4 linked regions of the Pelodiscus sinensis genome follow. The protein of the gene in region 1 interacts with the protein of each later gene in a pairwise test. Links are inferred from orthologs where the notes say so. Each region holds a gene or a part of one and is shown on either strand. Other genes may lie near its edges. The genes, in order: FHL3, SNRPG, FOSL2 and CCDC198.

Region 1 (7,747 bases):
GTCATTAAATGTTTTTTATTAAAACAATGTTTTGAATAGATACTGATCTGTTGCTTAAAGCGGCAAACTCTCTGTTGTCTTTGTTTAAAAGAAACGGCCAGGTGAATTTTAGAAAGCCAAATAACTGAGGCCTCAAAATAACCAGTCTTAGGCAAGCCAAAGCGTCTTGATTTCACTGAGCCATCTGGATGCGTGCAAAATACCACCCCCTCCTCTCCTACAAACACTTTCTCAAAGTAACTCAGTTTAAGCATTTGGTTTACGTTTAGCTTTTGAGTCTGTTGTCTTGTTTCAGGACTGTTTCCATTAAAGATGAAGTTTAAGGCTCAGGACTTTAACCAGCACAATTCCACTAGAGCAGGCACAATACTCCCCTTTCTCATATTTCTTTCAGAAAATGCCACAAAGCTTCTTGGACATTTCAAAAAACAAATCCAGATGTCCACACTGTAGTCATCTTCCTTTTATTGCAAAATGAAAGCATTGTGACCCCGCTGGCCCTTAATTTACACTTTCTCTTTAAGAAAATTACACTGGGAACTCACCTTAAAAGGATTTTCCTTTCCAATCTTTTTCTGCTAGGGCTGGGCAGTGCCACGATTACAATTCATAAAAAGTGAATAATTAACTGAGAACTTACCCTTGGATAGAAACACAGATTATAATTAACGGATTAGACATTTGGGGCCAAATTCATCCCTGGTTACATTTCCCTGAAGTCATTCAAACTCCAAGAAGGAAAGTGTCACAGGTAATCATCCGTTTTGCAAAAATGTGAAAGAATAAAAATAAAAAAAACTTTAAAATCACGTGAAAACACTTTGAAAGAGCAAAACCAGAGTCAGTAGCATTAAACATGTGGGTAACAGGAAATAAACCAACACTCACTGCTCTGGAATGGATGTGAGTGAAATTCTGCAACAGTTAAAATTACCCTCAGAGCCCTCTTGTGAAATATGCTCCAAACACAGAGCTTGAAGTTGTTAAGTAGACATGTACTAACCAGAAGCTAGTATGGAAACAGAGGGGCTATATCTACACTACAAGGTTTTGGCGCAAAACTGGCCATTTTTGTGCAAAAAATGGTGGAGTGTCCACACCTCAAGCAAGGTAGAGTTATTCCTCTCCCCTCAAGGCAGAACTCCTTTTTGCACTACAGCTCTTGCACAAAAAGGCACATGTGTATGCTCTGCAGGGGTTTCTTGCACCAAAAGAGCCTATCAGAAAAAGCACGGGCGCTCTGATGGCCATTCTGTGACTGATCATCGGAGCTTTATTGCGCAAGAGCATCCATGCAGTGTGGATGCTCTCTTGTGCAAAACCACATCGCTTTTGCGATGCGCTTTTGAGGTGTGGACACACTTTTGCGCAAGAAGTTTTGGCAGAAGATCTCTTCCGCGAAAAGCTTCTTGCACAAAAACCCTGCAGTGCAAACAAAGCCTGGGAAGAGATGAAACAAAACACAGGACTATGTAGCACTTTAAAGACTAACAAGACGGTTTATCAGGTGATGAGCTTTAAGTTCCCTTTACCAACTGCTAGGAAAGAAAAGAGTGCAGAGATTCTTACCAAGGTGCTTTGTATCAGCATTTGGCTATTATGGATTTGATACATTTGAAACCAACTCCCCATCTTTCCCTGCTCACCTCTGGCAGCTGAGTAATAGAAGAGAGGCCCTCTGATATTCTACCCCTCCCTCAGCGCCTGGTTTTTGTGATCCTTCTCCCCTGCTGCTTCCCCAATTTAAACTGCCAACTGGAGTTCACCCTTGATCACAGTTCTGAAAAACTGTCTCGAGTCTTGTTAATTGCTCTAAAAGCTTAGTCCAAGATAAAGCAGCAGCTATGGAACACTGTAGCTGTCTGACACAAGACTCACATTTACAGAGTTTTCTTCACTGCTAAAAGGAGGAGGAACTTTTTAACACAATGACAATTTAGATTCTGCAGAAGCTGATGAGTTAGCCCCCTCCAACACCTCCTCCCCCCCCCCCCCACATATACGGGGAAGGGAAAGTTTCCTACTTTCAACTGGTGAATATTCTTTTGCAAGTCCTACCACCTTCTACATGCGATTTGAACTCCACTAGGCAGAGTAAAGGATGAACAAAGAAAAAATGCCTCTTCCTAGCATCCCAAAACAAAGAGGAAGCATTTCTGTAAGTCAGAAAGACTGCCTACTCCCCCACCCCCCGCACTGTGAAGACACACATACCGAGATAGGAGTTCCCCTTTTTTTGTTGCCGGTGCCCAATTTACAGAGCTGGAAGAAGGGCACTAGCACACCAATGTCCTGCTCCTGTATTTTGCTCCTGGCCCAAATATTTTGCAAGGAAGGGGACTGTCTCTATCTTCAGTGAGCGCCCCTAGTTCTATACAATTCATCAGGAGGCACGGACCCTTTCCTGAGGTGTTTACAAGACAGCAAAAGCATCACTGGGTGATGAGGAATATTCCGGGGAGATACAGAAGCGTGAGTGGACTTTTCCAGACCTTGCCCATGCTCCCAAAACCCTCGCCCCCAGGACCCTGCCGCTCGCTGCCTCTGCTGCCCATGGCCCCAGACAGCACATCAGGGCACAGATCTGCACAAGGCAGCGGTACCCCCCGGTGCCCTGCACCTTCCCACGAGAGCGCAGAGGGCTCAGCTCCAGCAAGGGGGCAGCAGCCCCTTGTGGATAGCGCGTGGGGTGGCACCAGGACCGTCCTGCCCCGGACAGCTGGCGGCTGGGCACGGGAGCTGGAAGGAGCCTGCCCATCGGGGAGGCGACACCCCGACTTCCAGCCCGGGCCGGGCTCCGCAGCTGGGGGGGGGCCGTCTCCCCAAAGACCCCTCCCCACCCCCAGGTGAACCCCTTTCCCCAGGGGCGCCCCCACCTGCTCCGCACGCTCCGGGCCGAGTCGAGCCGGGCTCGCTGGCTGCTCCTCACCCGCCGCGCGGCTGGACAGGCGCTGGCAGCGGAAGGGGCCAGCCCAGCCCCGCCGGGGGAAACTGAGCCCGGCCCCTGCCCCGCCCGCGGGGCGGAGCTGCTGTGGCTGGGAGGGGGGTGCAGGGCCCGGAGGGGGCGAGGCCGGCGCTGGGGGAAGGCACTAGGCAGGGTGCTGGGGGGGAGCGAGGCAGGGAACGGGCTGGGGGGGAGGTACTGGGCATGCAAAGTCCCGGGGGTATTCACTGGCACAAGAGCGTGCCTAACCCTGGAGACCCTCTCCCCCAGCACCGTAAGGACTGGCAGACTTAGGGACAGACTAAATAACGCCCACAAGGCGCTGATGCGCAGATACCTCTGGCCCTGGATCATTCCAGACCTGGATCAAACCCACGGCTTTCCTCCCCGATTCCTGAACTCCTCTAAGGCCCGGTCTACACTGCAGCGCAATTTTTCGGGCATCCCGAAATAGCTTATCCCGCGTCTTTTGAGCGCGCCCGTTATTTCGAAATATAACGGGTTCGCTCTACTGCCGTCCCTGTAAATCTCATTCCACGAGGCATAAGGGACGTTTCGGAAGAGCCTTTTATTTCAAAATAAGTGCGGTGTAGGCAGCGCCAAATTTCGGTGAGAAAAAAAGCGTTAAGTCAACATTGACTCGAAATAAGCGGTGCAATTTGCGTAGCTCAAATGACATAGCTTATTTCAAGCTCCGGGCGCAGTGTAAATACACCCTAAGCAGCCTCCGTAAACTAGGGCCTGCAGGGATTAGGGCTGAGCCCATGTCACCTGTAGGCCAAGGTTTGAATCTGCCCACAGCTCAGGAGTGAGTGAATCTCTGGATTTAGGGGGCAGCCACATAGTGGACCACAAGCTAAATATGAGTCAACAGTGTGATGCTGCTGTAAAAAACAAAACATGATTCTGGGCTGCAGTAACAGGAGTGCTGTGAGCAAAATATGAGATGCTATTCTTCTGCTCTACTTTGTGCTAATTAAGTCTCAAGTGGAGTATTGTGTCCAGTTCTGTGCACCACATTTCAACAAAGATGTGGAGACATTGGAGAGGTCCAGAGAAAAGCAACAAAAATGATTAAAGGTCTGTCTAGAAAACATGAGTTATGAAGCAAACCTGAAGGATTGGGCTTGTTTAGTTTGGAAAACAGAAGACTGAGAGAGGACATGATAGTAGTTTTCAGGTAACTAAAAGGGTGTCACAGGGAGGAGGGGGATGAGGAATTGTTCTCCTGGGCCTCTGTCGATAGGACAAGAAGCAATAGGCTTAAACTGCAGCAGGGGAGGTTTAGGTTGGACATTAGGAAAAACTTCCTAACTGTGAGGGTGGTTTAATACTGAAATAAATTGCCTAAGCAGGTTATGGAATCTTCATCACTGGAGATATTTTAGAGCAGGTTGGATAAACATCTGTCAGGGATGATCTAGATGGTGCTTGGTCCTGCCATGAAGGCAGGGGACTGGACTTGATGACCTCTCAAAGACCCTTCTAGTTCTAGTATTCTATGAAAGTTGTTACCATCTCATTGTGCTCAGTTTTCTCCCCCCCCCCCCCCCAACCCTCCAGTTCACATCTTTGTCTTAGTTCCCAGTGTGTACTGGCCATGTTTTGGGAAGTCATCCTAGTGATATGGAATGGGCTAGGTAGCCTCTGCCCTTTTTGATTTTTTGAGGGGGACCAGCTGAGCAGAGCTTAGATGAAACCCTGCAGATACCATTGCAAAAGGTGAGCATGTAAAAGTGTAGAAATGGACAGGCAGAGAGTAATGTGTGTGGGAAGATTACCCTGCCATTCCTTGTGAGATACTCAAAACAGCTACATTTGGATTTCATAGTGTTCCCCGTGGCTATGGTTTGTGTGTGAGGTTGGTAATATTGTGTTCTTTCACAGCCTTTGATAATATTTCCCTAAAGTAGTCTCTGCTCCAAGCCAAGTAGATAGGCTTACCACACTGCATAAATAGCCCTGGGTGAGTAATAGCTGAGGCTTAGCTGGAATTATTTGCAAAGCATGGACAAAAACAGTTATGAAAATATTCCAATTTATCTTCCAGAGAAATTCAGTTCTGCAATAGGCCAGAAAACCACCTCTCTCTCTAAGACCACAGGAGGAATTTAAGTTACATTAGGATCCTTATTCATGAGTTCATTCACTCTTAATTTTTGTAATCAATTTTTACCATACTTGTTTTCCAATATGCCTTACAAAACATGTCCATTTAATTTACAGCTCTGGAGAAAGTGGACATGTACATAGTGTACCTGCTGTACAGTAGCACTCTCTCCTTAAGAGACAAGGAATGGATAAGGTCTCTTTTTATTCTTTAAGTTTTGTTTTTACATACAGACAGTGATTAAAGACCCAAACTCTCAGCTTGTTTTGGAATCAGTTCAGTTTAATACCCAATGGTTTTGCTTAAAATAGGAAGAAAGTTCAACCTAGAGTTGTGTAAGGGAGGAAGGCAGATATAAAAATGGTAGATGAACCAGGGAATTAATTTAAGTTCAGTTTAAACTTTATATGCAAAGAAAATATGAAGAGCTCTGTGTCACTTGAAAGCTTGTCTTTTTTCACCAGCAGAAGTTGGCCCAATAAGAGATATTGCATCCCCAACTTTGTTTTTCTAATTTCCAGGGACCAATATGGCTAGAAACAAACCTGCAAACAACATATAATAAAATGTCACAGTAGCAGTAGTTTTCAGTTGGAGCTGCTCTGCTCAGTGTTCTCTTTCTGAGGGTCATCAGAGAGATATACTAGCTGCTGTACTTTGGGGAAATCTTGGCAGCAGCTAGTGGCTTCTGGAAAGGGAATGAGCCTTGTGAAACTTTTCCCGCACCAAATCCTTTCCCTTAAAGGGAATTTGAAAACTTCTCAATCCATCGCCTCTATCGCTTGCCCTGCGGCACCACCTGCTGGGAGCTGCTTGTGCTCATCAAGCCAGGAATCACGGAGTGCCACAGTTGAAAAATGGGAATTTTTGTAAATCATTTTAACAATGTAAATACAAGAAGCATCTAGCCACTTCCTCCTTGGTTACAGTTCCTCAGTTATCTTTCAAGTATCAGAGGGGTAGCGGTGTTAGTCTGGATCTGCAAAAGCGACAAGGAGTCCTGTGGCACCTTATAGACTAACAGATGTATTGGAGCATAAGCTTTTGTGGGCAAAGACCCACTTTGTCAGATGCATCAGTTATCTTTGTGTTTCTCTTTGATTTGCTGAATTGCTGTGGGTCTTGAGTGCTTTGTGGCCAGACTGTTTCTTCAGCTCCTTTACAGTGAACAGGAGCATCTAAGAACAAATGGGTCTCTTGTAAAAGCTTTGCTGGTTATCTAATAGATCTGGATAGACTGTGGGATTTTGCTTCAGAAGGGTCATTCCTCTGCCTATTATTTCTAGCCCTTAGCACACCAGTCAGTTCACAAAGACCTACAACAGGAGGACTGCCAACTTAGGTGGACCGGACAGCATTGCTGCAAATGGTATCTTGTCCGTCCTTTCTAGGAGACTTGGCAACCATATGCAGCAGTTTTCTTTTGCTGCTAGCTGCCCTGTACAAATCTAATTAAATTAGATTTTTCTACAAAATCTTAGTTTTCTACCTTTTTCTAAATTAATTAGGTCAATCGCATATTAATTTATGTTCCAAAGGTTTTGTCTATCACCCATTTCTGACATGTAAACGCAGACAAAAGAATGAATTAGTGCATTTTGTTCATCTTGTGCATGACATAAAGGCCAGGCGGTCGTTGCACAATGTGAATTTTACTTGAATATGGGATTTTTCTTTTTTAACATGCAATGGGCAGATCCTCGGAGGCTCTGAACTGATATACCTCCATTGACTTAAAATAGAGCTATTGTGATTTACATCCTCTGAGGATGTGTCACAAAAGCATTTTAATATTAGGGGCTTACCAGCCACTTTTGCCCACTCATCTTGTGTTCTTTGGGGCCTATCCTAACTAGCTCATAGAACTGGGATCCTTGCTTAAAATCCAGACCAGAATGAAGAAGATTCCTGCCGGCAGGATATCTTGCACTTAACATCAAAAGAACAAAATGTACCATACAATTTGTAAGATCCAACGGTCTTATAAGATAAAAGCAAAGTCTTTCAATGGACTTAAGTTCTCAGTAAGTTAGAAACAACGAATAGTCCAGTGGCACCTTAGGGCACGTCTACACAGTAGGGCTGTGTCTACACTAGCATAAATTTCCGGAAATGCTTAAAACGGAATACTATTCCATTTTCAGTTTTTCCGGAACAGGAGCGTCTACATTGGCAGGCTGCTTTTCTGGAAAAGCCCTTTTTCCGGAAAAGCGTCTGTGGCCAATGTAGACTACTGGGCTGTCTACACTGGCCCTTTTCCGGAACAGTGTTCCGGAATAAGGACTTATGCCCGAGCGGGAGCAGAATAGTTTTTCCGGAATAGCGGCTGATTTTGTACAGTAGAGCATCGTTGCTTTTCCGGAAATTCAAGGGCCAGTGTAGACAGCTCGCAGCTTATTCCGGAAAAGTGGCTGATTTTCCAGAATAAGTGGCCCAGTGTAGACACAGCCTAGCAGTGTTTTGGAATAACGCCCATTATTCTGAAATAACTTTTCAAGCGTTCAGCTAATTTTGATATGTTAGATACACTGAAACATGACATACAATAGAACTAGGATAATGGAGGCAAATGTATCTTATTTCAGCATTTGTAAACCTCATTCCATGAGGAATTATGCCTCTTCCCAAATAGCTATTTTGGAATAGGTGTGGATTTTCCACTGCTGCTATTTTGAAATAGCTCCTCCTCCAGG
Region 2 (7,053 bases), on another chromosome or scaffold:
GGGATCCCAGCCTATTATTGGGGTCCTTAGGCCTTACCACAATACAACCTGAATAATACATTAGTTATGACAAGAATTTGTAGAGATACAGTCATTTGGACAAGACCATATTTCTTATTACTGAAGGAGACTGAAGATCTACACAATACTTTTAGTCATTCTTGTCATAAATGCGTATGTAAAATCATATAAATGTATTTACGTATGCAGCCACTTTCGAGACCGTAAACAAAAGTAACGGCATAGTTGTCATCACTGGAGATCAGAAACCAATGATATCTGCATGTTTTGGAGCACTGCAATCCCATTTTTGTCATTCGTGTATTACTTTAATCAACAGAGATAAACACAGCAACTCAACAGCCACCTATCATGGCCCCAAACACATTATTCAGCTCCATGATAATTCTTTCCTACTGTACACTCAGATGCACAATTCTATTAAAACTGCATTGGAAAACACCACCAAAAATAACACAGCAGCATTTCAGGTGGACCCCAATTTTTTGACTACTCTCCCACCCATTTTTGTCTTAAAATCTTTCAAGAAATATTAGCCAAAGATCTTGTCTAAAGACAAAACATCCTTCTTGTGGGAAGCAAAAATCTTGCAGCACTTTATACAGAAAATGTGCTCCAAAGATACACATTTCAACTACCATTATTTATAACATGACTTCACAAGTGACAAAACTTTATGTTTATCATTGAGTCATTATTAAAAGGAAGATGACTGCTGCCATGATCGACCTTCTGGAGTTCAATTTAGCAAGTCTTTAAGACTTGCTAAATCAAGCAGAGGGTGTCCCTGCCAGCATCCGGTATTCCTCCTTTGCTTCTGTTGGCCTCCCGCTACTTGGGACGCTGCTAAGCCGACTCCAGCTACGTAGTCTACGTAGCAGGAGTTGCGTACCTTAAACCGAGCAGTCAGGTCTAGTGTAGACCTGGCTTAAAATCCAACACACTAGCAGGTACCAGTTTCTTAACGTATTGTTCTGCACCTTCATCTTTATTTTGGATACCAGCATTCTAAATACTGGTACATGAAGAACCACTACCAGTGCAATACTAGGGATGTGAAGGTGTAACTGTGTAAGCAGTTAACAGATAAGCCTGAGCTTATTGGTTAACATTCACGGTTACATGCAAGCCCCCCACCCTTACTCTTGGGGAGCTGGCTGCCAACCTGCGCTGCTGCCTTTCTATTAGCACAGAGGCGGCAGTCAGTTCCACAGGGAGCCAACTGCTGTTGTGGGTGGGTATAACCACTGAATTTTTTCAGGGGTTACACAATTACCCACATTTTACCATTCCTAGGCAGCTCAATATATTTTGCCTTTGAATCTTTTCTATTTTCTAATGACAAAGCTGATCTCAATGGTGCAAAGTGTTGGGGGATACCTGATGGGGTAAATGGCATTGTGGGAGAACCATCTTTGATTCAGTTAACCTCCCAACATCCACAGATATAATGTGAAACAAAAGACAGGACTATACAGCACTTTAAAGACTAACAAGATGGTTTATTAGGTGATGAGCTTTCGTGGGGCCAGACCCACTTCCTCAGATCAAATTGTGGAAGAAAATTGGCATGACCATATATACCAAAGGGATACAATCGAAAAAAGTGAACACATATAAAATTGACAAATCAGATTTTAATATCATTATCTCATAGACACTAACCTCCCTCCCTCACCCGCCCTCTGTTCTAAAATCAGATTTGTCAATTTTATGTGCGTGCACTTTTTTGGATTGTATCCCTTTGGTACATATGGTCATGCCAATTTTCTTGCTGCATAGTCCTGTCTTTTGTTTCAGCAAGCTACATCTCTATTACTAGATATAATGGCTGTGTCTAGACTGGCAAGTTTTTCCGCAAAAGCAGCTGCTTTTGTGGAAAAACTTGCCAGCTGTCTACACTGGCTGCTTGAATTTCCACAAGAACACTGACGATCTCATGTAAGAAATCGGTGCTTTTTGTGGAAATACTATGCTGCTCCCATGCGGGCAAAAGTCCTTTTGCGCAAAAGGGCCAGTGTAGACAGCTCAGATTTGTTATGCGCAAAAAAGCCCTGATTGCGAAAATGGCAATCGGGGCTCTTTTGCGCAAAAGCGCGTCTACATTGGCCACGGATGCTTTTGCGCAAAAAGTGCTTTTGCAGAAAAGCGTCTGTGCCAATCTAGACGCTCTTTTCCGCAAATGATTTTAACGGAAAACTTTTCCGTTAAAGGCATTTGCGGAAAATCCTGCCAGTCTAGCCGTCGCCACCGTGTATTGTTTCAATACTAAGAATAGCATGTCTGTTTAGTGGTGTGTCATACCTATCACACACACATTGGCAAACAACCCACGTGTACAGTGCTGCTCCCAGCCCATCCAATGGCAGCGTGACGGCTGCTCACAACCAATCCAGGCGCGCACACAAATAACTCACGTGACAGCTTCTTGTCCATGAATCTGAAAGCACAAGGAGGCAGCGCATTAGGGGGCCGCAAGGGGGCGTGCCAGAGCCCCCCCACAACGCGGCAGATGGGCCGGTCCCGGGCAGCCGCGTGGTTTGTGCGCAGGCGCCAATGGCCAGGGGAGGCGCCGAGTGCCGGGCTCAGCAGGGGGCGGGGCACCCGGAACTGAGCGGGCGGGGTCGCTACGCCCATGCGCGGGGCGGGGCGCAGCCATGTGCACACCACGGGAGGGGTCTCGCCCACCCCGCGCGGGCAGGCCTCACTGGGCAGCGCGGTGCATGCCGGGATACTGGGGGAGTAGGCAATTAAGGTGGGTCCTACTGGAATTACACCCCCCCCTCGACCAGCCGCCCCTCCCTCGGCGGGGCGATCTCCGCTCTGCGCCCCGCCCCGCCCCGCCCCGCCGCACTCACTTCTTCAGCTCGGGCGGGTGCGCTTTACTCATGGTGCCCTCTCAGTCAGCCCCGCACAACCGCCTCCCGCTCCTCCGCGCGGAACCCAGCCTCTGGCGTCACCGCGTCCCGGATACAGCCACCAATCAGAGCTGACGCCGAAGCCGCGTGCTGGGACCCCGACAGCCAATCGGGCGCCTGCGTATGACATCACTAGACCAGCCAGCCAATCAACATGGTCTCCGGCATCTTCTGCGGATGACCTCACTGACCCAACAGCCAATGCGGGCCGTGCCGCTTCCTCTCTCCCCGTCAGCAGCGCCTCATGGAGGAGGGCACCTAGCTCACCTCCGCCGTACTCCACAGAATAGAGGCCCAATCTCCTTTTTCCGGGGAAGCAGTGGCCGCTCGGGAGCCAGATCGAAGCAGATAATGCCAAAGCCGGTTCCACACAGGGGCCCGTCGGCCGCGGAGTTACCAATGCTGCCTAAATACGGACTCATTGAAATGTGAATGCGCGGCTCCCCTAGACAATACGGCCTCGCTTGTTGCATGTAGCGACCCTCTGGGTTCGCTTTTCAGTTCGCGTTGGCGCTGGAACCTGCCCTGACCACGTTCCAGGGGGCTGGATCCGCTGTTTTGGTTCGGCCCGTTTAACAACGTGTAGACGCAAAATGTAGGTTTGCCACATGTGCGGAGTTTGGATCTGGCTCCGATTTACACAAGAAAGTGGTGACTGACAAATAATCCGATTTCAATCCAGGAGGAACCTGCCATACGTTTGCTGCCACCCCTTTCCCTGTCTTGACTTTTTAGCTGGTAAGCTCTTTGAGGCAGGGACTGTTCCGTTGGGATGCCACTATTCCATTTGTGCAGTCCTTAGCACACCATTTGGCATTGCTTCCCTAGGCACTAAACAGGATTAATAATAAGGTTGGCTCTTTGGTTCCAAAGCAGGGAGTTGGAACTAGAGCTGTTTTAAATGTTAGCAGTGTTTGAGACACATACTAGCTCCAACTATAATACAAAACGAAGAGCTCAAGGTAGGAAAACACAGTAGAATACACAAAATCCACATTTAGCACTTCTCGCAGTGTAGCCATAATGATGAGCCTAGTCGTAAGAAAGAACTCAGAGGAGTTATCATCTAAAATTTATTTTTGAATCAAACTTTTAGAAAATAAATCCGTTTTTAAAAGGACAGAACAAAATGGTTGTGTTAATTACAGTTGTTCATGAGAAGGAACAAAACAGGACTCTCAGCTCACAATAAATAGAACCATCCTAAGGTATTCATTACATTGTCTCCAGCCACAAGGACAGGACCAGGTGGTGCTGCTGTTTTCTGGATGTCATTTCCCTTTTTATTTTGGTGGTGACTACCTCTCTGTATTGTGTTCATTTCCCTTGAGGACCACAGATTCAGAATTGCCTACTCCTGTAGCCGAGTAGCTCCATATCTGAGGCAGCTATTAATGGTTATCCATGACTAGCTTAACCTTGCCCCAGCATTCAAACCAACCTCCTCTGTCTTGCTCCCTGTCCCTGCAGCTTGAGGAAGAATGAGATCTGAAATCCACCTTAAGACTGCACCACAACACACAGAATCTGGTAGTGCACTGAACACTGCTATCAATTCTTTACTTAAGCAAACTCCTGATTTATACCAGCATGAGGGAGAATCAAGGACAGGTTCTCTGCGCGTTAAGTCAAAAAGTTATCAGGTCAAAAAGGAGGAGAGATTCCACCTATTAAAACCTTCGGTGGTTGTTTTTCAGAGGCTCGGGGGGGGGGGGGGGGGGGAAACGACGACACATTTATGCCCCACTGCATGGAACAATACAGCTGCTATAATTCTTAATGATAGACTTCAGGCTGAATGCTGCTGTTCCTTACACCACTGCAAATCAGGAGTAATACAGATGTAAAATCAGCATGAGTGGAGCATTATGTAGTATTGGCCATTCCTTTTCAATAGGCCATGTTCTTTGTGACTCATTGCTTCAGAGAACCCACACTTAGCTGGCTGACCTTGTTCTCTTTGTAGAATTATATATGACGGGATTGGTGGCCTGATGAGGTCAGGTGAAGTTAAAGGGCTTTTTCTCCACTAGGTTCACACACAGGCATATCTCCATTTATTCCATTGGAATCACTTCTGATTTATGCCAGTGTGAGAGGCAACAGAGACCCAAGATGTTTTAACTGCAGAAACTTGACCTACCAGTGCAAAAAAAAAAAAGTCTCCCTGACTTCCTCTTGTCTCCTTTAACATAAAGGCACTTGCACTAGAAGGACAGGGGGAACCTGTCAGTGCTAGACAATCAGTTCTGCAGATATGAGGGCAGTTGAGGAGGGAAAAATCCTGTCCCCAAAGCATTTTTTTTTAAATCACAATAGCCCAGAGAACAAGTGAGGCAAGAATTATGGCCCTTTGAATTCTAGGGTATCAAACCCAGTGGTAGTTATACTTCAGATCCTCTGCCCATCACATCACCACCAAGAATACGGGAGAGTGGACTTTTGGAGCCAGATACTCAGAGCGTTTACACTGGCATGGCTCCACTGACACTAATGGAACTACACCAGTTTATATCTGACTCTTAACACTTGCAGGGAACTATTGAGGCATATTAGTTAGGCAGCAATGGAGAAGTTTGCACCTGTCCCAGGGACAAAGGTCCCTCACACTCCAGGCCTGTCCAGCTGGAGGTGCCTTCCAGCAGCCCTAAATTCACTACAACCAAAGTAAGTCAAGGTACTATCAAGTAATAGAGGATCCTGCTATTAGCAGCATGGTCTATACATACACTAACCATTAACCCTTTGAGGACTGGAGCAAAGTCACTACTCTGTCCTCTCCACACCTGGTGACACTTCTCAAATCAACCCGAGACACCAACACTTCAAACCAGCTGTTGAATGGACCACTGCAATACTTTGAAAATACAAAAATCACCCTTATCATCCATTTTCATGCTTCAATTTCCAACACGAATCTCCGTGTACACGTCTCTCTCTTAATAGAAGCTATGCTTCTCCCTCTCTCCCCCAAAACAAACTCAGATTTATTGTGTAATAGCTGCCAAAGTCTCCTTCATTTTCTTGGTCATGCTGGGGATGAGATGCATGTGGTCGTCCACGCACTTCGTCACGCAGCTCTCCAGCTGCTGTTTCACCTGCTGCTCCTTGCTCCCTGAATCCAGGGAGTCTTTGGCCTTGTCGTTACAGTGCATTGTGCAGCGAGCCAAGCGGTCCTGCAAATGAGAATTCCAGACACTTAGAGGTTCAAATGGCTGGGAGCAAGTGGAAAGTGTATTGGGAGGAAGTGCAGACATGGGAAAAATGAGCTCTTAACCTGCTATCTAAGAGGTGGACATCATGTGTTGGAGAACACAGAACAAAATTATTTATAATGGAGGGAATGGTTGGAAGAAGAATGAAACCAGCTGCAATCTGGAAGTTTCTCTCATCATTTGCAATGAGACCTCCAAACTAGGGATGTAAGTGACTAGTTGACTATGCGAGGCAGCAAGGGGGAACAGCAGGAGCCGGTTCCCCGCAGCACCGTCTCCACAGGGGGCAGGGAAAGCAGGAGGGTAGCGGGGACCACGTGCAAGCCGGGAATCAGCTGATTCCCAGTTTGCGTCCAGTCCCAGACGCTGCGCCTCTGATTTTTAAATGTATTATGAGCCTACGGGCTCTTAAGTTTAAAAATCAGAAACACCATTGTGTGCGAGCCAGGATGGCTGATTCCCAGCTCGCGCTGGGTCCCCCCGCTGCGCTCCTGCCTTTTTACATTATGGCTGGTATGCAGCCGGGGGGAGACCCAGAGTCAGCACAGCCTGGTGGCTCTTCATACATTTAAAAGGCAGAGCCGCAGCAGGAACTAACCCCACTGCGGCTCCCCTGCTTATTGATCAATTGACTAGTCGATGGAAAAATCTACCAACTAGTCAATTAGTGGATTAAATTAAATTTAACCTCCCTACTCCAAACTCATTTTGTTTAGGCTCCCCTCCAAATATCAAACCCTAGGGGGTGGCGGTGTGTGTGTAGCTACTCCTCCAGCCTGCTCGCTTTCAGACTTGCCCCTTTCACACTGGAAAATCTACCCTAAAAAGGCACGTTCTCTTTGCAGGAGGTTCTCCTTTCTGGTGTCCTGCGCTTTCAAACCCTGTGCTTCCTAATGAGC
Region 3 (7,108 bases), on another chromosome or scaffold:
AACCATCTTGTTAGTCTTTCAAGTGCTACATAGTCCTATTTCTTGTTTCAGCTACACCAGACTAACACAGCTACATTTCTATCACTATTGTCCCTCAGGTTTGAGATCAGGAGAGAAACCAGTGGAAGCCAGCTAGCTCAACTCCCCACCTGAAGGGCTGGCACTCTGCAGGGCATTGGAAAGTATCTTCTACAGGTCTGGCAAAGTAGGGTGTAGGTGGCATTCCTTTTCCTCACCCGTCAGGCTCCCTGAATGCATTTTTTCCCTCCTCACAGTAGTAGTGGGGAGCAGAGGGGCCAAAATGGACCCGATATCTTGTTGTTATGATATAATAATCTTTGACTTTAATGGCCCTGCTAAATATTAACAAGACCACCAGCTGGACTTCTGAAACATTCAGGAACATGGGGTTTGTTATCCTAGGTCAGAGCACTGATCCAAGGGATCTGGGATCCTGTGTCCAGTTTCTCTATAGCAGCCCAATAGGAAACATTTCAGTACTCCAAGAGAGATGACCAAACCAAAGGAAACTTTTGCAGACATTTTTATTTCAGTATATCAGTGTGTCTCTCTCTGATCATCTCATAACAACTACAGGCTAATTTTTCTCACATCCTGATCTAATTCTCTTTCTGCTGGTGAAGATCAAGCATGTGTAGCTCATCTGTTTGACGTACAATCAAAAGGGGAAAGGACGTCACAATCTCACAGTGCCTATTAACGCAACTCTCCCTTCCGCCTCCTTACTCCTAATGCAATGCAAATTGGAGGCAGTGGTTTATTTTTGTAGCATTAGCCCCACCTCCTCTAAAGTTAGACGCTGCATGAAACAGACCAGCTAATTTGGACCAAGAATTTCAATTGCTTGGAAAATGAAGGTGCTAAAAACCAAACAATATCAGCAGGAGTTTTTGCTTCTAAACATCTGACTTGTCAGGTACTAAAAAGTATCTAATTGATGTGCTGTCTCTTTTCAGACTTCCAAAGATGAGCTAAAATTCTTTGTTAGTGCTTCCTGGAGAAAGTAAAGACAAAGCGAAGAAAAGACTATCACTCTTTGAGTGTTTTGTAGAAAAATGAGCATAATGGGATTTTAGTTTGAATTTAGAAGTCATCTTCCTTAACAGTTAAGGAGATATGCTGTATACATCCTCTAAGAGGATTAAGAAAATATACACATTTAATTTTGAACATCAACATTTTATTGGTCACTAAATTAGTATGATTGTTGTATTTCCATTTACTTGAATGGGTTATAGTCTTTTAGTGGATTTACTTAATCTTCAGTCCTATACTCTACAAGAGTCAGCATATCTGTTCAGTAGACTGTCTGACATGCCTGGCCATAGTCTGATCTTGACATCTTCCCTTCTAGGATGATTATTAATATAATAGCAGTCTAGGGAATTGTCTGGCATGGTGAATTAGTAATAGGCTGTAATCCTTTTCACCCCCTGGTTGCCAGTTTGACTCCAGCCCAGATTAGTAGTCATTTACCGTCACCATCTGAGGTTTGCTTGGGAGCCTAAATGAGTTGGTGGTTTTCAGGCCAGTTCCTAATGGAATTGTGCCCACATCATAAAAATCATCACCACCGTTGACACCACAACGTGCAGCCATGACAATTTAAGCAAATGGATTTCAGCCAGCGACAGAATGGGCCTTGCAGACCAAACTTCTCTCCCCCTTGGAGGCCATTCCTGGAGGAGGGGGAAGGAATATCTTTGAAGGAGTGTGCTATTACATATACATCCTGTGACAAAACTTTATTATTTTTACAAATCACATATAGGTCCCTAAATAATCTTATAGTCTGATTCAGGCAAATACAAAATAGACCATAGTGCGAAAAGTACACATGCAGACAAAAAAAAAAAAATGTTGAGGCAAAAGGGTTAAAGGAGACAGTCAAAACCTGTTGAAATTTTTCATACCCTACATTATCACAGTTTCATAGGATCTGTGAAAGAGTAAAGGTTTTAAGAGAGATTTGAAGAAGGAGACAGCTCTTGGAAGAGACTATTACAACAGAAGGGAGAAAAAATACATGAAGGTGAGAGCAGCAGGAGGAAACAAAGGGAGCATTAAGGAGAGGCTTGGGCAGAGCATATGCAGCTTGGAAGGATTATGGGAGGAAAGCAGGAGGAGCAAAGCTGTGCAGAGCCTGGAAAAGGTAACAAGGTTGGCATCAGCTCGGTGCAGCAGAAGATGACCATGTTAGCTGCAGCAATATGAACATGGGTAGAGAGTGAAAAGAAGGCTCCTTATTGTGAATCCTGACACCCTTCAGAGTACTAGTCATCTGAAAATTTATTTTTTTCCATGTTCCACTCCTTACCACTTCCTCCAGGCTTTAGTGATTTGTTTAGAAAGCTTTAGGAAAAAGTCCTTCCATTGCAGAAACCAAAGTACTCAATACAATGTCACATGCAGGAAACTGTGGGATTTAGTCATATCTAAAGATAATAGGGTCACAAGTGTTTCTATATTTACTATCACAGCTATGAAGGGAAATGCTGATTTGCAGGTTCCTATTCAGACACACCATGTGCTGTGATGACCTGTACTTGCCAAGTCTGGCATACAACCAAGGGTGGTGGTTCTACCTGGGGGGGAACACTGTAATTGCTGGTGTGCTGCACAGTGTATTCAAACAGTGATATTAACCTATTTAGAAACAGAGATGTGTTATAGAGCTCTTTTTAGCTTAAAGCACTTTACAAAAAATAATTAAGCCACACTCCACCTCTGTGCAATGGTATTGGGACATCCACTTTACTGATGGGTAACCTGAGGCATAGAGACATAAGTAAGAGCCTAATTCCCAATCACCTGCTCAAAGCACATGACAATTCTGTTCTCATCCATCCCAACACTAAGTCACAGAATCTCCATTAAACTAAAGAACTCTCAAAAGGCATTGACTGATGCAATTGCTGGAACAAGTCCTGTCCTATTCTGGTATGTACTCTGGGGAGGTTGCATTGTATGGCTTGACCTTGGTCTGCCCTCCCCTTCCTTGCCTCATCTCTGGTACTCAGTCCAGACCATTGGGATTCCATGCATTTGTTTCATCATCAGCTGCTGAAAAGCAAGTGGCTGAAACTCACTGTGTACTCACTATTAAGCTTCTAAATGCACTCTCCTCAATTTAAAGAACAGGGAATGCTGGTTATGGGTATCTATATATTTTATGAGTTGGGTTTCTGTTGACCATCTCTCTTCCATTTTAAAGAACATTATCATTTCTTGTTAGTGTTCCACACCCTTTGTTTTGCTAATGAGATACTAAAAACATTTCATAAGAAAAAAACGTGGTTACAAGGAAATCATGCAAAGGAGGACATAATAAATGTCTGATTTTTGTACCATGGGTAGAGCGTTGCTGGGTGGTGTCGCTTAACTGTAACCTTTGTCCTGAGCTGTTACATGTGGTTTGTTTCCTTGATGTACTCAACCTCACTGGGCTGGGTTGTGGTTTGCATGTTTTAGGAGCCAACGATAGAGGCCTGAACTGATAGGAGACATTTCCTTGGTGCTCAGTTTGCACAGGAAGGAGGCCACAAAAATGCCAAATATATCTCCTTCTCCCTTTTCTGGATGCTCCTCAGTAATCTCTCTCACTGGAGATTTTTTTTTCAAGAGCCCTCTGAAGACCTAGCACTTTGCCTGTGGAATTCTCCAGCTGATCTGTCGTTTCAAAGACATTTCCGAGGGGAAAATTGCCCCCCTGCACAGGCACCCCCTATAATTACTCAGTTGGAAACACTGGAGTTGATCTTTGTTCATCCCGCCTCTCTTCCCTGCAGCTCCCTCCCGAGGAGCTGTCATCACCGCAGCTACAGGCTGCAGCTGCTAACGCAAAAGGCTTGTGCCGGCCGTTGCATCAGCAAGCAGCCCAGATTCCATGATGCTCTGGAGAGGCTGGGGTTATCCAGCAGCCGCTTTACTGGAAGCCGCGGGAGCAGAGGGAGAGTGTGACGCTGCGTGCTGGACTCAGCGCCGCCCGGCTCAGCCGCCAGCCAGCGCGCCCCTCCCAGGCATTACTGGAAGGGGCGGCCCCTCCGCAGCAGGGCGGAACGTGTGTTTCTGCGGCCACTTGGCGGGGGAACAAGGAGACAAACATGCTTTGGTGTCCGGGCGGGGAGAGGCGCAGCCGGTTCTGCTCGTATCCCCCCCTCCTGGCGCGGTTGGGTCGCTCCGCGGGAGGACTTGGCTGCAGCCAGCTGGGCCGAGGGGGGAGTGCTGGGAAGGGCGGCCCCTGTTCCGAGTTCCCACTCTCTCCCCCTTCCGCACGTACCGCTCTGCCTTCCCCCCAGCAGCCCTGTGTGTTTACTCGCGCTGGTGGGAAGGGCTTGAGTAAACAAAGCGTGGAGAGCGCCTTTTCCAGGGCAAGGGCAGCGCCTCCCCGGCGTGCGCACGGCGGTTTTACTCGTGACCAGCAGCTACCTTTGGCGGTAGAGCCCCGCAGGCGGAGGAGAGCAGCGTTAGGGTCCGAGCCCTAGGAGGGCGAGGAAACAAATCCGCCTCTAGCGCAGCCGAGCCCCCTACAAAACGAGGTGCCGGGTGTTGCGTCCGCCAGAGAAACGCCTGCACGGGAGCGCGGACTTTCCTCGCCGCTCCTGCTCCAGGCAGCGTGTCCTGCCCAGAGAAGAGCAGCGAGGGGAAGCCGTGCCAAAGCGCACCGCACGCAGGGCCTCGCAGCCAGCCGCCGGAGCGCGCTCTCCCTCCCCTCCTCGGCAAGGACACCGCTGGAGCCAGTGGCACGCACACACACACGCTTCAGCGCCCGCCCAAGGACACTCGGGTCCGATTGCGCACGGACCGGCTCCCCTCCCTCTCCCCACGCAAGGACAACGCTGGATCCAGTGCACACACGCACCCCACCCCCCTTTCCAGCACGGGGGCAGCTGCGGATCCAGCCCCCGTTTTGGCACGGCCGGGCGGCAAGCGAATGCTGCTTCCCCGCGTCTCCCCTGCTCCGATCCGGTTCCCCTTTAAGCGGGGCCGATCTGGCGCGAGCGAGTAGGGAATCCCTTTCGGGCCGCGTCATCCTAACCAAGGAAACCCGCGCTGGCGTCGTGCAACGCAAATGACCATCTTTGGCAACGTGCGCCAATGGACGAGACTAAAGGCCGCCGCGGAGTGGGGGGAGTGGGTGGGCTCTGACAGTAACAAAGCAGGCGCGCTTGGGCCCAGGGTGCTCCCCCCGCTGCACAGGGGATGGTCTCTCCCCGCGGGGCTCTGAGATTGGTTTGCAGGCAGTGGGCTGGGTTCGGCCAAATCAGATTCTGTGGGCGGGGTGAATTTCCCCCTCCCCCTGCCAGGTGGGCGACTCCCTCTGGTAAGGTGGGGCTTGGCGAGCTGGGAGTTTGACGTGTGTGACTCCACATGGTACAGCTCTCCGAGGAGGGGATGGATAATAGGAGTGTGGAGTTGAACTAATGCCATTGCACTGACTCATCCAGGGAGAGTAAAGGAGCTCAGAGAACAAGATACCAGGAGAGACTCAGGCAGAGAGAAAGAGGGGGGCAGGCGACACGGGGGGAGAAGAGAGACTCACGCGCGGGCAGAGAAGGGCAGGTAACAACTGTAAAGATCAATAATTAAAAGAGCTTAACAAAAATCAAGAGGCTAAAATCCTGGACTGACTCATCCAGTCCGGCTAGAGCAGGGACCTGGCACTTTTATACAAGACTTAATTAAATAAGCAAAAAAGCCTCTTGATTGAAAACTACAGAGTCAGAGAAGCTTCAAAACCAGAACAAATATTCACAGGAAGTTTGAAGAGGGGAGCAGAGACAAGTTTTAAGCGTGTGTGTTTAGGTCTTTCCCCTCCCTTTTTTTTTCTTCAGAGCAAATGTAATAGATTTTTAAGACTTTTTTTAAAGAGACATCTAATTATACTTTTTGCGGGAAATTTTAAATCCACGGCTTTTATTTTTTTTTTCTGAACGCACCGAAAACCTCAGATTAAAGAGACTGCCTCTGTTCTGTGAAGTGGGAAATATTTTTCGCCAGTCTTGAGTGAAGGAAAAAGTTGAGGAAAGGGCTTTATTTTTAACTATTTAAAAACAACAAATCCTTACGTGCAGCTAGAAGGCAGAAAATAAATTTAAAAAAAATCAGGCGAGAGAGGCGGAGAAATAGAGCGTGCGTGTGTGTGTGAGAGAGAGAGAGAGAGAAGGAAAGAACATCGTGTTTCTCTCCGGCTTCTACCTCGGATCATGTACCAGGACTATCCCGGGAACTTTGATACCTCCTCCAGGGGCAGCAGCGGTTCCCCAGGCCACGCAGAGACTTACTCCAGCGGGACAGCACAACAGGTAGGGGTGGTCACATGCACCTTGCCATACAACTGACATGATCAAGCTTCTCTTTTCCCTTCAGTGCAACTTTCTTTCTGATCGCAACGGAGCACCCTCTGCTGTGGGAGCCAAGGACCGTAGGTAACACAGTTCTACCTTCCACTTTGGGCACCGAGTTTTACTTTCAAACCAGGTCTCTCTCCTCTTCAGCAGAATAAAATACTATAGTGTGGTTGTGTGCGAAATCTGTGTGTAACATCCGTGTGACATTATTGTGCTTTTTGTGGGCCATCTTCCTGTACTAACTTTTTAAAAAATCGCCTTAACTAGATAGTAAAGTTCACTCGCCACACCCAGTCCACTTTGTGAGAGCCTTTATCAGACTTCTGCCTAGTTGGAGATTAGGGGAATAATAGGTACTGCCTATCCTTTGGCACTCCCGAGTCCATTTCGAGTCCACGCCTTAAATGGAGGGGGAAAGCAACTTCTGTCTTTGCAAGAGTTTGGGCGTTTTGGTGTGAGTGTAAATAATGAGGAATCTAATCTACGGATTTACATGACGCCAGGTTAGGAGAGCGAGGCAACTTTTAATCGCCTGTGCGGCTAAGTGTGGGGAGTTTGCGCGTGTTTGCGAGTTGCTTTCGACTTCTTGAAATTCCCGTCTCCGCGCAGACATCCAGTTGCTGCCAGCGGGGGTCTGTGCTGACACGCACACCCTCCTCTTGCCGCGACCATTCCTGCGGGGTCAGTCACACCGCGGCTTTTGCTGTCCTCTGCTGGAGTTAATTTGGGACTGAACG
Region 4 (7,576 bases), on another chromosome or scaffold:
AAAGTCGATGGGACAACTCCCGGTGCGTAAGCCTTTGCAGGGTTGAAAAGTAGAACAAGCTTCTGAGCCATTGTTTTGACACGTAATATAGGCTATCACACTAGGTATGATCAGGCTATATCAGGGAAATCACTACTTACAGGGTTCAATTGTAGAATTAAGAAACGATTGTAGCTTAAGGAATTGTAGAATTAAGGAAAGGCTATTTACTTGTTACTAGTACATAAGCACTAGGGGTCACCAAATGAAAATAATAGGTAGAAGGCTTAAAACAAACAAAAGGAATGATTTCTTCACGCAACACACAGTCAACCTGTGGCACTCCTTGCCACAGGATGTTGTAAAGACCAAGACTTTAACAGGGTTCAAAAAAGAACTAGATAAATTTATGGAGGTTAGGTCATAGAATCATAGAATTATAGGACTGGAAGGGACCTCGAGAGGTCATCGAGTCCAGCCCCCCACCCTCAAGGCAGGACCAAGCTCTGTCTACACCATCCCTGACAGATGTCTATCTAACCTGTTCTTAAATATCTCCAGAGAGGGAGATTCCACCACCTCCCTTGGCAATTTATTCCAATATTTGACCACCCTGACAGTTAGGAATTTTTTCCTAATGTCCAATCTAAACCTCCCTTGCTGCACTTTAAGCCCATTACTCCTTGTCCTGTCCTCAGAAACCAAGAGGAACAAATTTTCTCCTTCCTCCTTGTGACACCCTTTTAGATATTTGAAAACTGCTATCATGTCCCCCCTTAATCTTCTTTTTTCCAAACTAAACAAGCCCAGTTCATGAAGCCTGGCTTCATAGGTCATGTTCTCTAGACCTTTAATCATTCTTGTCGCTCTTCTCTGTACCCTTTCCAATTTCTCCATATCTTTCTTGAAGCGTGGCGCCCAGAACTGGACACAGTACTCCAGCTGAGGCCTAACTAGGTCCATCACTACTTATTAGCCAGGATGATAGGAATGGTGTCCTCAGCCTCTGTTTTTTAGGGGGTGACAGGAGAGGGATCACTTGATGATTACTTATTCTGTTCATTCCCAATGGGGTACCTGGCATTGGCCATTATTAGAAGACAGGATACTGGGCTAGATGGACCATTGGTCTGCCCCAACATGGCCATTCTTATGTTAAACTTGCTCACTGTAGGTGTCACCAGGAAATTGCCTATATTAAATATTTTATTATATCTAACATAAATTATATACTATAAACACACTCTCTCTCTCTCTCTTTCACACACACACACACACACACACACACACACTTTTGGGCATCATTTTCCAGTTTTTCCACCAACAAAATGAAAAAAATTGCCAAACGCGGTAAAAACAAATCTACTATCAACAAGTTTCCATAACTGATCAGATTTTAAATTTTGTTTTAATCCCTTCATGGTGTTTTTGGTCTTTTGCTCAGAAAGTTTTGCCGTTTTTTTTTACTATCCAGAGCAAACTGGACATTTTTGACCAAGCCTAATAAATATCTAGCCAACTGGGAAAAATATTTGATTCTGTAAATACTTATTCCATTTTCATATCCCACATGTTCCAGACAGGCCATCAAATCCACATATCCAAATAACACATCTTGTGTTATAGCAGTGTCAAAAAACACCCCCAAACTCTATCTTTTTTTCCCCTCTTGTCACCTGGCATCATATCACCAGATACCTCATGCTCTGTATCCACAATTTCCATTCGATTGTGAAGGAACGTCATAAGCAGAGAAAAATACTTTGTGGTATAAACATTAACTTGATGGAGCAGTAAAAGTGGTTTGTGGATGAGTAAGTTCTGCCAAGGAATGTCATTCCTAGCTGATTGCATTACACAGGGCCACTGCACAATGATGGCAGCTCATTAACTGGCCTCCTGCACTCCCCAAACTCCAGACAAATCTGCCAAATCATTACACTGAAAATGGGATAGAATAAAAGGCCAGAATGACAACTAGGGTGGGGTTAGGAACTCAGAACAGTCATATAGGGTAAAATCCTGAACTCCATTGAAATGCGTGGCAAAATTCTCCTGGACTTCACTGGACTTCCCCACACAGAAGAGGGGAAATCAACTAAGACACAGCACAGCGGCAGCTGATGCCTGACCCTGCCACTGACTTCCTATGTAACCATGGTCAAGTCACTGCACCTCTCTGTGCCTGAGTTCCTCATCTGTAAACTGAGGCTGATAAATAATACTCTTTGGTTACACTGGCAATTCTTCTGGGCTGGGCTTCAGTCTTACCCTGTGTTCGTATAGCTCCTGGCACCATGAGGCCATGATTTTGGTTGGGGGTCTTTGTTCTTAAAAAGCCTTTTCAGAAATATTAACTCCCCTCTCAAGCTGAATTTGCTTCCCCACTCTTCATGCCCCTTTTGTGTGCATGAGCCAGGAGTGGTCCCGCTACTGAGTTGTCATTATAAGACCCTTAAGCTCGGTGCTCACCATTCAGGGGCACTAGGCATGGTCTGCAGGGCTTCATACTATCGCCAGTGCTCCTCCTTACAAGACAGGCCTCCGTAGCCTTTTGACTAGGACCCCAGCAGCTGAAGTTTGCTTCTCTTCTCTGGGATGGCATGCATGACATTCCCAAGCCGAAGTAGAAAGCCTTGATCCAGCAAAGCACTGACACAGTTTGGGCCAGAGCTGTTAGGGTATATAGGTGCCTAAAGAGGCAGACACTCACGTAATGGAATTTTCAGATGTGTCTAACTCCCATTGATTGCAATGGGGGTCAGGTATCTAAATGCTTTGGAAATCCCAGTGGGCACCATAGGCAGGTAAGTACCTTTTCACATCTCGCCTTTGTTCCTTGTCAAAGTCCTCTCCCAAGAGAAGAGTTGGCAATAGGGTGACCAGGTAGCTTCAGAAAAAATACCGGACACACTTGATTGGGGGGCAGGAAGGGACTGGCCAGGAGGGGCCTGGAGGAGGGGGGAGGGAACGGGAAGCAGGGTTGGCAGGGAGGCGGGGGCAGGGGGGCTGGGTGGGGGAGATCGAGGGAGCGGCCGGTGGGATGCAGGGCTGCTCGGGGGAGATCAGGGGGGAGTGGGGCTGGCCGGTGGGGGCGGGGGACAGGGAGTGGGACTGACCTGGGCACATGCAGATCCCAGGGCGCTGTCTGTCCCGAGCATGGTCCCGGTGAAGTACGAGCGAGTCTGACTATGGCTCCACAACGCGCTTGAACCACGCTTAGGAGCACGGACAGGGCTTCTCCTCCTCCACCCCTACATCAGACGCAACCAGAGGCTCCAAGTGCCGATCGCGCCCCCGCCTCCCAGCCACTCCCCTCGCCCCCACCAGGCTTCCATCGGGCACCCAGCCGGGAAACCAGGAAATACCAGACATTGCACATGTCCGGTATTTTCTGAATTTTTTACCTGACAGAGGGCCCAAAAACCGGACTGTCCGGTTGAATACCGGACACCTGGCAAGCCCAGTTGGCAAAGAGCTTGATTAGACTCAACCCAGCATATTGGCCTTATTCCAGGTTGAACCTCTGTGGTCTGGAACTCTCTGGTCCGGCAACATCCATGGTCTGGAAGCCAACAGAGGTTGCCAGTGGCTAGGAACTCAGCCCTGCAGCCGTCTCTGGGGACTCTCTACTCTCCTTGGCCAACCTCAAAGTCTTTCCTTAGAGCTACACAAAGAGAGTGACGTCTGCTAATTTAAGTGGGGATTTGTCTGTAATCATGCAAAACCTGCACGGATGCCGAAAAGGAGCTTCGCCTGCCTAAGAATTAGAGAAGTGGTGGGTTAGCACTGTGAGGAGTGGATAGGGTTGCAAGGTGCAGGTGCTTTGTTAGCACCAAGGACACAAAAGTGCGGGTCTTTCCCTTCTGCTGTTCTCCCTTTGGGGCCACATTCTACTCCGGGTTACACGCCTGCAAGTGAATAGAAGTTACGGGGCCGGAAATGCTCTCAGATATACCAGAGTAAAGAAAAGGCAGTTCCTCAAATGTGGCACTTCCCAGGATTTTTTCTTCTTCTTTGGCTGCAGGCTGCAATACCTGACGCCTTCTCTTCCCACTGGTGCTTAAAGGACAAAATTTCCTTGGTGAGACCAATGCTTTTACAAACCAGCTGGCCGGAGAAGCAAAGAGAAACTTCTCAGGCCACTCCCTGGTTAAATGAGCAGCTACCTTTCAGGAAAAGTGTGTAACATTATAAATAGTTATGGGGGAGGGGAAGACTCTGTTATTTGGTGTTTACCTCAGACTTCTCTGAATTAGTTTAATATTCAAGCGCTGCCAGGCTCTCGGTCGGTCCAGGAAGTGGCCAGCCCAGGTCAATGTTTAACGGGGCTTACCAAATCAGGATTCAGGAAGGAAGGGTTTGGGGAGGCATAGCCATGGAAACTGGCCTACCGGACACCCAATCAGCTCTGCATGTGTGTGGTCAGGCAGACCGTGAACGTTGCCGTGGAGGGAACCTGGGAGCTTTACACACAGGCATTGCCTTCAAAGGGAGCCCAAGGCACAGCTCTGTGCAGCGGCCACGTCCAGGAACTCCTTCACCTAGTCTTTTTATGCGTTGAATGCCATAACTCAGCAAAATGGGCCTGAGCTACTCCAGGGCTCATCATAAGGTGACAAAAGTGGCCCCCGTGCAAACCAAAGAGGATGGGCTTCCTTCTCCTTGCACTGCAGCGGTGTGTGGATTTCGGAGCACCCTGGGAGACAGCTGTGCATGTTCATTCGCAGGCCTGGAGGAGAGAAATCCAGTGTTTCCAAGGCAGCTTCCACCCCTAAGAGAAACTCGGTATGGCAGATGCTCCACAGGTAACCTGGTCGTGGATAAGTGACTGCCCTTTCTACAGTGCTCCGACTAGCTGAGTGTTTGTGCTTTGGAGTTTGAATGATCTCTGTTGACCTGGCTCAGCAGCAAATCGTTGCATTTTAATTAAGACAAATGATGGGAATCTGCAGGTTTAGCAAATGCAATTGTGTGAGTGTGTGTGTACATGTTACTTTAGGCATGTGTCTAGTTCTGACATGCCCTGTGGGGGAAAAAATCAGCTTCTTTTAGAAAACTGTCTCAATTATTTATTTACATCTCAAATAGCCCAGCGCATGCAGTCCTTCCTTGTGTGAGTCATCCTTACACACAGAAAGTTGTCCCTGTGTCCTTGACTTCAATCGGACTAGCTGGAGAAGAGTTGCAGGACAGGTTCTAACCATGTATTTCTGTAGCAACCACTTTAATATGTTTCTCTATGTCTCTACTATGTGTGTATGTAGTTATTCGAGCTACACACCACCTGAGTTAAACCCAAAAGAATTATTCACCATTCGGGCAAGCCGATGTAAATCAAAGCAATTATAAGAATAGTATCAAGTTCTCCTTTTCACCAGTACATCTCAATGTTCTTTACAAGAGAAGCTGAGAATCACAGCACAGCTAATTTGGACCAGGGAGGCCCTAGACCAGAGTCTGTTACACACAGGTCTGGAACGGGAAACATTGCTTTAAATAAGCAAGTAATACAAACAATAAGGGAACCACTCCACCCTACCATTTGTATGTAAATACATCTCCTTTGACTTCAATGGGATTATTCAAATGAGTAAACAGATGCAGGATTAGGTCCTACTTTGTACTTAACAGTGAATTTCATTAGCAGTCACTGGTTTAATGTGCTTAGCAGGATTGGAAATTTTCCTCCTTCTATGCTACGTATAGAGCATATGAGAGGAAATGTACCGCTGCCCTGATAGAAGTCACATTTCAGGAACCGAGAGGGTCTAGGGATGAATATAGATTGGCTCTAGATATGCAGCATGACATTTGGAGTGTTTTGTGACAGCCACAGCACTTAAATAAATACTCCAGTTAGCAAAGAGCTAACCATGGGGTATTTAGCAAGTACATTTATGAAAAGTCATCTCTAGAAGTGTCATATTCCATTACATGTGCTGTTTTTGATAATAATAGTGTATCCCATTTGAATGATGAATTAGCTGGAGCCACTGTCTAACCGAACAAATATCTGTTACACAAAATGCTTTATTTTGTTCACAAAGATTCATTTCAGCTTGTGCTAAATTGCACTTTTCAGAGCAAGTGAGGTCTTTAAAAACTCTCAGAGAGGTAGCCGTGTTAGTCTATAACTTTGAAAACAATGAGTAGTCCTGTGGCACTTTAGAGACTTAGAAAAATATATTGGATCATGAGTTTTCATAGGTATAACCCACTTCATCCTAGGCCATCTGATGAAGTTTTACCCACAAAAACTCATGATCATTTACAGGGCTCGACAATTAATGTAATCGACTCACCCATGGTGAGTAGATTTTAGCCCGGTGCGGGCGTGCAGCACGGTCAGCGCATGTGCAGTGTGCGGTTCCGTGCGGCTGGAGAGCGGGGCTCGCCACCATGTGGCGACCCCTGGTCATTTATATCTTTGTTGGTCTCTAAGGTGTCACAGGACTACTTGTTGTTTCTGAGGTATCTTTGCTATTGAAGAGCAAAGGGAAAAAAAGCAGTAGAATTTCTGAAATTTAGGCAGGGGCTTCATTTGATTATTATCTGTATTGCAGTCATGCACAAGGGCCCATCCAAGATCAAGGTGCTGTTGTACTAGAAATTGTGCAGACCTCTGAGGACAGCCCCTGTCCTAAACCGCTTACTCTCCAAATAGACTTTGATTGTAAACTCTCTGGGGAGCAGGGACGTTCTTTTTGTCCTGTGCTTGTACAACACCTAACACAGCGAGGTCCTGATTCCCGACTGGAGCTCCTAGGTGCTACTTAGGCAACAGGGGCTGCACCATGGGGTGGTCAATGCCAGGTGCCCCCAAGGGAATAAACAGACATAAGTCAGATCCACGTAAGTCGGGGACTGCCTGTACATCTCAAGCCAAATAAATTATGAATAATAATGTTGGGAGGGGAAAGAGAACCCTACAAAGGTGAAATGACTTACCCAAGTTCATGCAGCAAGTCAGTTGAGTATCAAAGCTGGAACAGATCTCAGGTCCCCCTGACTCCCTTGCCACTAACTCGAAGGCCATGTCTTCATTAAGTAAAATATCGAAGTTGCCATGATCAATCTTCCGGAGTTCCATTAAGTGGGTCTAGTAAAGGCCCACTAAATCAAACTCAGAGGGTGCCCCCATCGGCAGCCAGTACTCCTGCTCCTGCACAGAGTAAGGGAAGGTGCCAGGAGCATTTGCTCCTGTAAGTCTTCTACTGTGGGGACGGCAGGCAAACTCGAATATATCTCAACTCCAGCTATTTAATTAACATAGCAGGAGTTGCATTTCTTAATTTGACCTTCCCCTTTAGTGTAGATCTGGCCCAAATCCTAGCCCTGAGCTTATGCTGCATTTAATGTTTTAATAATTCACTGTCTTTGCATTTCTATTCCACAATCAGAAATTGTGTAGGCACTAACTAGCCCTATGGATTTAAGAACAGTCATTTTTAAAAAGCAGAGTTTTGCAATCTAAGTTATAAATGGTTTTTTCCCGATAAATGGCAGGTAAACCTTTTCTCTTGCAAACTCAGCTGTTTGGGCCTTTTTCGCTAAAATGTGAATGTATTTAACTCAGCACATGTGTCTGTTTCTG

What was found.
Region 2: the proteins of FHL3 (region 1) and SNRPG interact in binary tests that used the Homo sapiens proteins (3 or more experiments, as listed by UniProt). The two-hybrid records come from large-scale screens. The link is inferred for Pelodiscus sinensis from reciprocal best matches to the Homo sapiens genes FHL3 and SNRPG.
Region 3: the proteins of FHL3 (region 1) and FOSL2 interact in binary tests that used the Homo sapiens proteins (3 or more experiments, as listed by UniProt). The two-hybrid records come from large-scale screens. The link is inferred for Pelodiscus sinensis from reciprocal best matches to the Homo sapiens genes FHL3 and FOSL2.
Region 4: the proteins of FHL3 (region 1) and CCDC198 interact in binary tests that used the Homo sapiens proteins (3 or more experiments, as listed by UniProt). The two-hybrid records come from large-scale screens. The link is inferred for Pelodiscus sinensis from reciprocal best matches to the Homo sapiens genes FHL3 and CCDC198.

What each region holds. Positions count from the first base shown.
Region 1 is NC_134735.1:10,806,837-10,814,583, forward strand, and holds the start of FHL3 (four and a half LIM domains protein 3), read right to left. Parts: upstream 3,015-7,747; 5' UTR 2,877-3,014; intron 1-2,876. UniProt on the Homo sapiens protein: Recruited by SOX15 to FOXK1 promoters where it acts as a transcriptional coactivator of FOXK1.
Region 2 is NC_134738.1:2,090,511-2,097,563, reverse strand, and holds the start of SNRPG (small nuclear ribonucleoprotein G), read right to left. Parts: upstream 3,015-7,053; 5' UTR 2,912-3,014; coding exon 2,880-2,911; intron 2,462-2,879; coding exon 2,439-2,461; exon of another isoform or gene 2,381-2,438; coding exon of another isoform or gene 2,326-2,380; intron 1-2,325. Other genes in the region: protein FAM136A, read right to left, coding at 5,927-6,115. UniProt on the Homo sapiens protein: Plays a role in pre-mRNA splicing as a core component of the spliceosomal U1, U2, U4 and U5 small nuclear ribonucleoproteins (snRNPs), the building blocks of the spliceosome.
Region 3 is NC_134713.1:160,978,211-160,985,318, reverse strand, and holds the start of FOSL2 (fos-related antigen 2), read left to right. Parts: upstream 1-4,102; 5' UTR 4,103-6,227; coding exon 6,228-6,326; exon of another isoform or gene 6,327-6,449; intron 6,450-6,467; exon of another isoform or gene 6,468-6,874; intron 6,875-7,108.
Region 4 is NC_134714.1:10,904,024-10,911,599, reverse strand, and holds the start of CCDC198 (factor associated with metabolism and energy), read left to right. Parts: upstream 1-4,561; coding exon 4,562-4,787; intron 4,788-7,576. UniProt on the Homo sapiens protein: May be involved in tuning the metabolism, energy expenditure, and excretion processes.